2 linked regions of the Tribolium castaneum genome follow. The protein of the gene in region 2 interacts with the protein of the main gene of each other region in a pairwise test. Links are inferred from orthologs where the notes say so. Each region holds a gene or a part of one and is shown on either strand. Other genes may lie near its edges.

Region 1 (4,587 bases), on a different chromosome or scaffold from region 2:
TATGCACAATGTAGATTCTTGTAATTAAATGTGAGAAGATGTGTAATTAAGCGATGAGTGTAACGCCACAAATTGATCGGGGTGTCATGTGGGTATAAAGTACGCAAGGGGCAATTTACGTAAGGGTCAAGTGTAGTTATCACCGACCGAGATCTGACATGGCATGCATAATCGATTTCACTAAATGAAATTTACAAGGAGAACAAGAATGTTGGAATAGTCATGCTTGCAACATTGTATGGTAGCAGGAGTCGTAAATTAGGGAGCTTTTTATTTCGCGGGAAGCGTGTTTCGCTTTACTGAGGATTAAATGAACTGTTATGGAATTGGAAGGGTTCATAAAACACTCTTAAAATTGCAACTGATGCCACTGGGCTCATGTAACAAATAACAGCATCAAAAAACACAGTTTTAGCGCCGCTAAATTTTCTGCTGAGCTTTTGGCATAGAATTGCACTGTTAGTGTGAGTTTTTTCTGGAAGTTGTACCTATATTTGCAGTATTTTTTTAGAAGTGACTTGAATGATGTTGAGAGAACTAAATTGGGTTAGTAATACCCACAAAATTTTCTTACCTATTTTTGTACATAATACATTAAAATCTAGAATAGCTGTACAGAATTATAAACATAGCAAAATAAAAAATTTACATGTGTGGATATGGGAAAATAAATTAAAGTTATTGTTGTCTTTACTCTTTACAGTCATTGTAATAATTTTTCTGCACCTAATAATCTTTCAGCAGCATTAAGGCAGTTATTCTCGCAAAAAAATTTCTGCTGATGAAAAACTACAGCCTTTTTTAAAATTTTTGTATTTAATATTTTTATTAAAGTATTTCATGTCTGGTTTTTAAATTTAGTAAGCTACTACTAATTTGATTAGGTATGTAATACAAACTTATTTATAGCAATGATTTTTTTAGCTTGAATTTTGAGAAATTTTTTGTTCTATATTTATAATGCTTGTAATTTTTACGTTATTTTTTATTTTAAAATCTAGACAAATTGGAAAGTAGGTAGGTAAATAAATAAAAAATTTAATTAAAATTATTTAATAACTATCACAGCTGATAGTTATTATTTCTTGTTAATTGTCGTTTTTTTATTATACCATGCTGAGTTGAATTGAAATATTGTGGTAGGTGATAGTAAATATAAAAATATATATAACAAATAATAAAAATAAAAAAATAATATAAAAAAACTAATTCATTTTTCAATTAAAAAAAAAAACAAAATCTTTTTTTCTGTTCTCTCGTTATTTTTATTTCTTCATTTAATTTTACTTTAATATACTCCTGCTTTTAAAGAAACTGTAAAACTTCTGGCAATTTGCGAATGAAAAATGATGTCTATTTATCATTAAACAGTTAACTGATACCTATAAGTGGATTCATTAGCAAAAGAAACAATCAATTTTCAACACAGCGCCATAACTCCATTCTCTTTTATGTAAGTTATGTTTTTTTTTAACTAGCATTGATATTACTGAAATAAAAGCTTTATTTAGTTTTTATTTTTCATAAATTCTAAAATAAATAAATAAATCTTAAAACATGTTTTACCGAAAAATATATTTAGGTTTTAATTTTTACGTAGTTTATTTATTATGTGCAGCAAGAATGTATATATATATATATATATATATATATATATATATGTACATATTATCCCGTACTTTGTGTTAAATTGTAATTTGTTTCATTTGATTAGGAATTACTTAGAAGAAATATCAACCGTGTAAGCATTTGTTATTAGCTGTTTTATGTTTATTTTTTGAATTTGTGTATTAATTAAAAAGCTAAGGTGAAACCGTCTGCAGGTAAGTGAGAGTATACTTATCTATAAGCAGTTTTAAAAATATTTGTTTCTATAGAACGTTATACTCGTAAATAATAAAGTAAAAATTTTCATTATTTTTGTGATATAATTTAATTTTGTGGTATTGGCGATTAAGCAAAAATGCGCTGTTATTTTTCTGGAATTTATTCATTTAGTGGTAGTTCTCATTATATGGGAAGTGTATTTCCACATTTTTTCCAATTTCAATTGCAAAGCAACTAAATTTTAATTTTTAATCATGAGAAACGTTTCTCGTTTCGGGCTTATCTTGTAACTTAACCCAGAAACATGTAATAGTGTTCCAATTATTTTCTCACCCACAGTTGATAATTGTTTGATATTAATAATAATTGACATTTGTTTTAGTAAATTACGAAACGCATCACTTGTCTTTTTAGTCTTTGTCAGAGTTAATGAAAATAAGCTATAAAACAACGATTTTCCAATCGCGTGGCGTCGCTAAACTTCCAATAAACAAATGTAACGAAACGTTTCCGCTCTAATCAATAAGATAAGAAAATTTTGAAAAGCTAAAATTTTTATCTGTTGACTCACCTGTTGGTTTTGGTACATTCCTTTTGACTTGCATCCACTTATAAGTTGGTAACACTGGTTGTGGCTGAGGAACCGAACTCAAATTATGCATAACGTGTTGTCTCATCCTCCCATCTCCCTGCAGCGCTTCCTCCTTGTACCTGTGGAGGTGTTGGTACTCCATGCAGGAGTTTGTGGGGGTGCTCGATGCCCCAAGGTGGTACCCGGAGTCAACCTCCAACTGGTACTTGTTTTCGTGGAGGAAGTGGTGCTGGTGCCCATCGGCCACCTCCTCATGGTGCCTCAGCAGCATGTTCTCATGGGTTCTTTGATAGGGTTCGTTGTAATTCTGGTGGTTGATGGGGGGGAAGTTTGAGTTACCATAATCCAAGTTTGTGTAACTTAGTCCTGTCTCTGTATTGATTATGGGATTGTCTTGGGGGATGGTCTGGTGGTGGTAGTAGACTTCTTGGGGCGACGGTGGTGTTTCCTCCGAGCCGGTGTACCCATATGGGTCTTCGTAGTGGTAATTGGAGTAATGTGGGGGCATTTGCTGGGCGTTTGGTATATCACTGGTGTAGTTGTAGTAGTTATCCGATGGGTATGTCCCATGTTGACTGTGATGGCCGTACATCCCAACGTCCATCATCATCATTTTCATCAAGTCGGCACTGCACACACGTCACATGGCAAGCACTCGATTGTTTATGCTGTTGCACGGCAGACGCGATATGTGTCAGAGGGAGGAGCTTGCTTCTGCGCGCTTTGGACGGCCGACCAATGGCAGAGCAGCCCCACGAAGATCATTTGATGCTGGATGAGGGATTGGTCTGGATCCAGCCATCATTGTACCGTTTTATAAGGGAACATTTCAATCCCAGTGAATGGTACAAGTGTCAGCTACTGTGTGTGACATGACAGCTCGCCTTGTATTGTTCGCATGTGGCGTTTCTAATGGGCTGAGGCCGAGATCCTTATCGACTTATTCATATTGTGATGCTGGGGAGAAAATTTTTGAGATGGTTTGAGAAAAGTTTGATTCCCGAAATGTAATAATTTAATAATTTATTGAGGGGTGGTAAGACGCGACTTCGGGGTCTTTCCCTGCTGATAAGACGAGAGGGGATAAAAAATTCACGGTTAAGTATATTAAAGTTTGATGCTGCTTCTAATATACGTTTTCAATAAAAGTCCTATCTATAATTTTATAGATATTAAATTTTTGGAGGCGACCGGGGTAGTCTGAAAGACTATTTACATAAAAAATTGTAGGTAATTAATAATTATACAAATACCTATAATTTATTATTGAAGCTATGAAATAAATATATAAATAAATAGTAAAAGCTATACGTATCATTTTGAATAAAAAACATACCCAAGTTTAAAAAAAGTTTAATCGTTATCAGATCAGAGTGACACATAGGTATGTCAAAGATATATATAGCATGTATGCTATACCATAAAAAGATATATGGTACCTAAGTATCCTAATTCAAACGTTTAGCATAAACTGTAATGCGTTTTATAATTAATATACTTAGGTATTTCTTTTGTGTAAGACAGTTTTGACAATTGTTTGGCATTTCTTAATATAATACGTCAAATTATTTTAGCAAATTTAAAGCAGTTTTAAGCCTTGTTGAGTCTAATTCGATGAATAAAATGTTGTATTCAACTCGTTTTTATGTAAATCTGTTCATTTATTTCACCTCGTGGTGAAATAAATCACTCGTGTTTTAAAAATTCACTCGTAAAATAAAGCGACCGATTTACACTCATAAACATTAGCATCTTAAATCTTAGTATTAATAAATAAATATTAATTATAGATTATAGGTAGGTATGCGCTTATACCTAGACATCAAGCTTTTTTTGCATATATGTGTGTGTCCATTACGACTAAAATGATTTCTTAAAATTTCTTGAGAAAGGCAACAGACGATTGTGAGTGTAGCAAAAATAATAGATAAAAAAACTCATGAAGGAAGATATTTCGCTGCAGAATAATATTTGGACTTTCTCATAAAAAAAATAAATAGGTATTGTTCACATTCATACCTAGGTATTTTGAGAAAAACACATTTCTGGATTTAACTTTTGTGTTGTATTTAGCACTTTGTAATTTTATTGATGAAATATTGTTGCGTTAGAATGTTTTTAATAGTGACATATAACGATCTTTTAAACAATAGAAATTTAATTTCTAA
Region 2 (3,830 bases):
CTTGCGCGCCGTACTCTCAAAGTCAATACACCGCGAAAATGCCAATTTATGCAGAAAATGTTAATGAAACGCGCCGAGTATGCGGTTTCGCATTAGCTATTGCGTAGCGAAGCCCCAGCTGGGGCACTTACCGTACAGATCCCCAGGACACGTCTTGCAGCAGCGGCCCGGCCGGTGCACCGGCTCGTCGCAGGTGGGCTCCGGGCACTCGTTCTTGATGCTCCGGCACTGGACCCGCGCCACGATCCGCCGTTTCTTCTGGAGCTGTCGAAAAAAGAACGAACCAAATCAAAACGGGAGGTTACAGTTAGCGGCGGCGAGGGCGCCGAGATGCGAAAGGTGTCGGTAGATCACAGATGGAACGGTTGCCGGTCACCGACCCGCCTGACCTCTACCTAGACGCCCCCATCTCGGGCTCTTCGCCGACGAGAAATCGCCGCTGACACACTCTCCGAGCGTGAAACTATTCCCCCAGTGAATTATTCATCAATGGATTATCGGGCTCGGAGACGCTTTCAATGAATGTCACTCACCGGAACGCACTCGCATTTCATGCAGTAGAGGACGCCGATGGGCACTCCGAGGTCGGGGATCCACTGCGAGCCCAGCTCGCGGACCTGCTTCCCGAACACGCACTCTGCAACAAAACACACATCAAAACCAGCCCAAAACTTTCATAGTCGGCAAAATAACCCCATTTTTTAACTATTAGAATTTGCGCCAACTTAACACTTTCTTCAAAACAAAAAAATGATTCGCTCGGAAGATCTCGAAACTACAAGCGAAGTCCAAGTACACCTGCTGCTTCCCATTCCAAGAAAAAAATTATCAAAAAAACTGAATGGGACTGAACAAATCGACGAAACAAATAGAAACTACTTCTGAAGTAAACTGTGTACTATAAATTATGCCCTGAGGTGCTTCAGTAGTCAGTCACATGAAAATTGAGTTTCGTTCATTGACGAATTTTGGATCATAATGACACAAAGGAGGTATAGATTTTCGCCAAAAGCCCACTTCGCCCACTTTGGGTATTGAAGGGAACACCAGTCGTTTAATCCAAAGTTGGTGACTTTATTCGAGCGTAGGGCCTTTTGTGTGCATCTTGTCCTTTTTGGTTGTTGGCCCTTGCGCTGGCGGCGTGTGCCAAGTGTCCCCCGGCAATGCGGCCATGCCCCCGCACATCGATTTAGATTTGACCTTTCCCAACTATTGCAGCAGACAACGTGTCTGTAGGTTTAATTGCGCGCCCCCCCGATGGAACCCCCGGCCGTTGCGCAACGGGACCGAACCGCGTGCGCTTTTTTTATTATTATTCGGTGATCTAAGCGACATTGGCCTCAAAAATATGTTTACTACGTCGTCGTATTTTTGACGATTATCGTTGTTTTTTGTTTTTTGTCTGGTCGCTTTATAATTAAAGCGCGCGCGACTATTTCCAACTGTTTAGAATCGCTCGCATTGCTACATTGCATCGTACTTCGCAAATGTCAACTCGGAGGTGTGATCTTTGCTCGTAACATGCATTTCCACTTAGTGTGCGGCTTACTTTTACACCGGCCATTTTGGACACACACGTGATCGCGGGTGAAACAATTAAGTCAGCGTAATTAATAAATGGGAAAAAACGGGCAATTGCCGCGTAATCATAGACATTAGACGCGCATTTGCATGCAGGCGTTTAATGCATTTTAATAAATTAAATGGATAGGTTGCTGCTCGGGCCGGACAAAAGTGCAGCCAGTGGCGGCGTGCACGGAAAATTAAAAGGCGATAAAACACTGAAAAACGCTCAGTGAAAGTTGCCTCCAACGGCAATTGACGTGTCCATGATTTATATCTAGAAATCATAGTCTGAAGAAAGCAAAACGCTAGTTGAGTGGCATCAGGACGCCTCAATAACTTTGGTTGTAACCCGCGCGGCGGTAAAAATGTGTTTTTCATTAAAATAACAGACGCGGTTTGCGAAATCCAAGTGTTTTATCATCTACTTTTAGATTTCAGGCGTTGAGCTGACGCGTCACTTTGACGACCTTTAGATTATTATTTTAAAAGTCCTTATTTTAAATATAATGCGAGTTTGTATCGGTGAGGTCAGGCTAGGCGTCTGGGAATAAAAACCAACGCCATGGACTGATTAATCTCTCAAACTTGGTTCGTTTAAATGACATTGCATTTAATCGAAATCACATGTTAACACATCAGCATGTTGAATAACATGAACTAGATTGCTCGCATTTACCTGCAATTATGTAAAAATCATCCGTGTCGTAATGGCTAAATTTCGCGCAAATCGCCACCTTATCTAATTGGTGCAGGCGGAGCGATAAAGCTCGCAAGTACACAATTTCGTTCTCAATGAATTAGAAAGGCGCATTTTGGGTCCAATACCCAGGTTTCGGTAGCGCGTCAAGGCCGCCTGTCGTGACGTCAGCAGTTCGCGGGTGGTTTTGTCGCAACACCGGTGGTAGAACCCGGTCTTGCCGTAATGATACCTTTATTAAACAAGTTGATGGCGAATGTCTTATTTACGTTAAGCAGAACAATTTCGCCTTGTTTTTGTTGTGCACGGCGAAGTTTTTCGCTTCACGGTGGGCTGAGACAGCTACAATTCTCTCTCTTGAGAACTGGTTTCATTTTTTCCGGAATGTAAGTAAGTATAACTAGCGCATATTTTGCGATAATATGGCGTCGCAGCAGTGCTGCTGCCGCCCTTTTCTGCTCAAACTAGAGGGCGAAGTTTGGCGGAAGTTCGCCATGAGCCGCGCGAAAGTGAGAGTGCTCAGCAGCGCACGCCATGTGGAAGACGCTAGACGCCGCTCAAATGCCAGGAGTTCAATCCAGATGGGCCTCAGGATATATTAGTCATGTTATATCGAGCTTGGCGCGAATTCAATGCCGCAGACGGACGACACACCTCTAGACGAGGCGCATCGGCCAAGAGGCGAGCTGCAAAGGTGCAGGCGACCGCTTCCTGGTCCGCTGACGACACCGTTGGACCGCTAAGCCGATAAATAACGCCGTTCGCGGACTAATAGCACGATAATTACGTCTGTTTAATCTTAATTTAATTCGATTTCGCGGCCGGCGCCACAACCGACCGCTCTCTCAATATGTCAGTATTACAGCCGCATTCAAAGTCAACGATCTGGTAATGTGGTTGCAAATACGCGCCCGGCACCCGCTCCTCTTTTATCCGACTATATTTAGACCTTTGATTCCCGAAACGAGTCGAATAACTACTTCCGCCAACACCATAATTAACACCCGAATCGCACACACGCAACTCGCAATCGGACCTATCCTCACATCCAAACCGGGCAAAGAAAAACACAACAATTAATAAGCAGAAGAATAAAAAACAAGGAGGCATCCAAAACAGAAATTGAAGGTGTTTGCGAGGTCCAGCGCCTACGATACAACTCGTTTTTGACTCCCAATTTAATTATTGGCCACACGGTGACACCTCTTAACAATGGGCATCTCTCCACAACGGACAATTAAGGATTCCCCATGGGTGTCCGTTGTTGAGAGGTTTTACTGTAGGTTTTTGGGTGACGGCAATATACCAGTGGCCGCCCATAAAAGTTTGATAATCATACAATGAAACTGAGTTTAAAATTTCGCCACAAATTAATCGAATAATTCCAAAAATGGGGCAGTTTTTGTATTTTTTAAACGTTGAATGAAATAAACACGTTTATGAATTGGAGAAAAACACTGAACCGAGCTAAAAACTACATTGAGTCGAAGACAAGAGGGTGAACTAAATAGTGATTCTATTTGTTTCGCCGATTTGTTCAGTCCTTTTCAGTTTTTTTGTTAAAGTT

Evidence for each region.
Region 1: the proteins of sog (region 2) and Lab interact in binary tests that used the Homo sapiens proteins (3 or more experiments, as listed by UniProt). The link is inferred for Tribolium castaneum from reciprocal best matches to the Homo sapiens genes CHRD and HOXA1.

What each region holds. Positions count from the first base shown.
Region 1 is NC_087397.1:6,654,626-6,659,212, forward strand, and holds the start of Lab (labial), read right to left. Parts: upstream 3,057-4,587; 5' UTR 3,039-3,056; coding exon of another isoform or gene 3,030-3,038; coding exon 2,399-3,029; intron 1-2,398. UniProt on the Homo sapiens protein: Sequence-specific transcription factor. Regulates multiple developmental processes including brainstem, inner and outer ear, abducens nerve and cardiovascular development and morphogenesis as well as cognition and behavior.
Region 2 is NC_087395.1:22,989,845-22,993,674, reverse strand, and holds part of sog (short gastrulation), read right to left. Parts: intron 638-3,830; coding exon 534-637; intron 265-533; coding exon 132-264; intron 1-131. UniProt on the Homo sapiens protein: Dorsalizing factor. Key developmental protein that dorsalizes early vertebrate embryonic tissues by binding to ventralizing TGF-beta family bone morphogenetic proteins (BMPs) and sequestering them in latent complexes.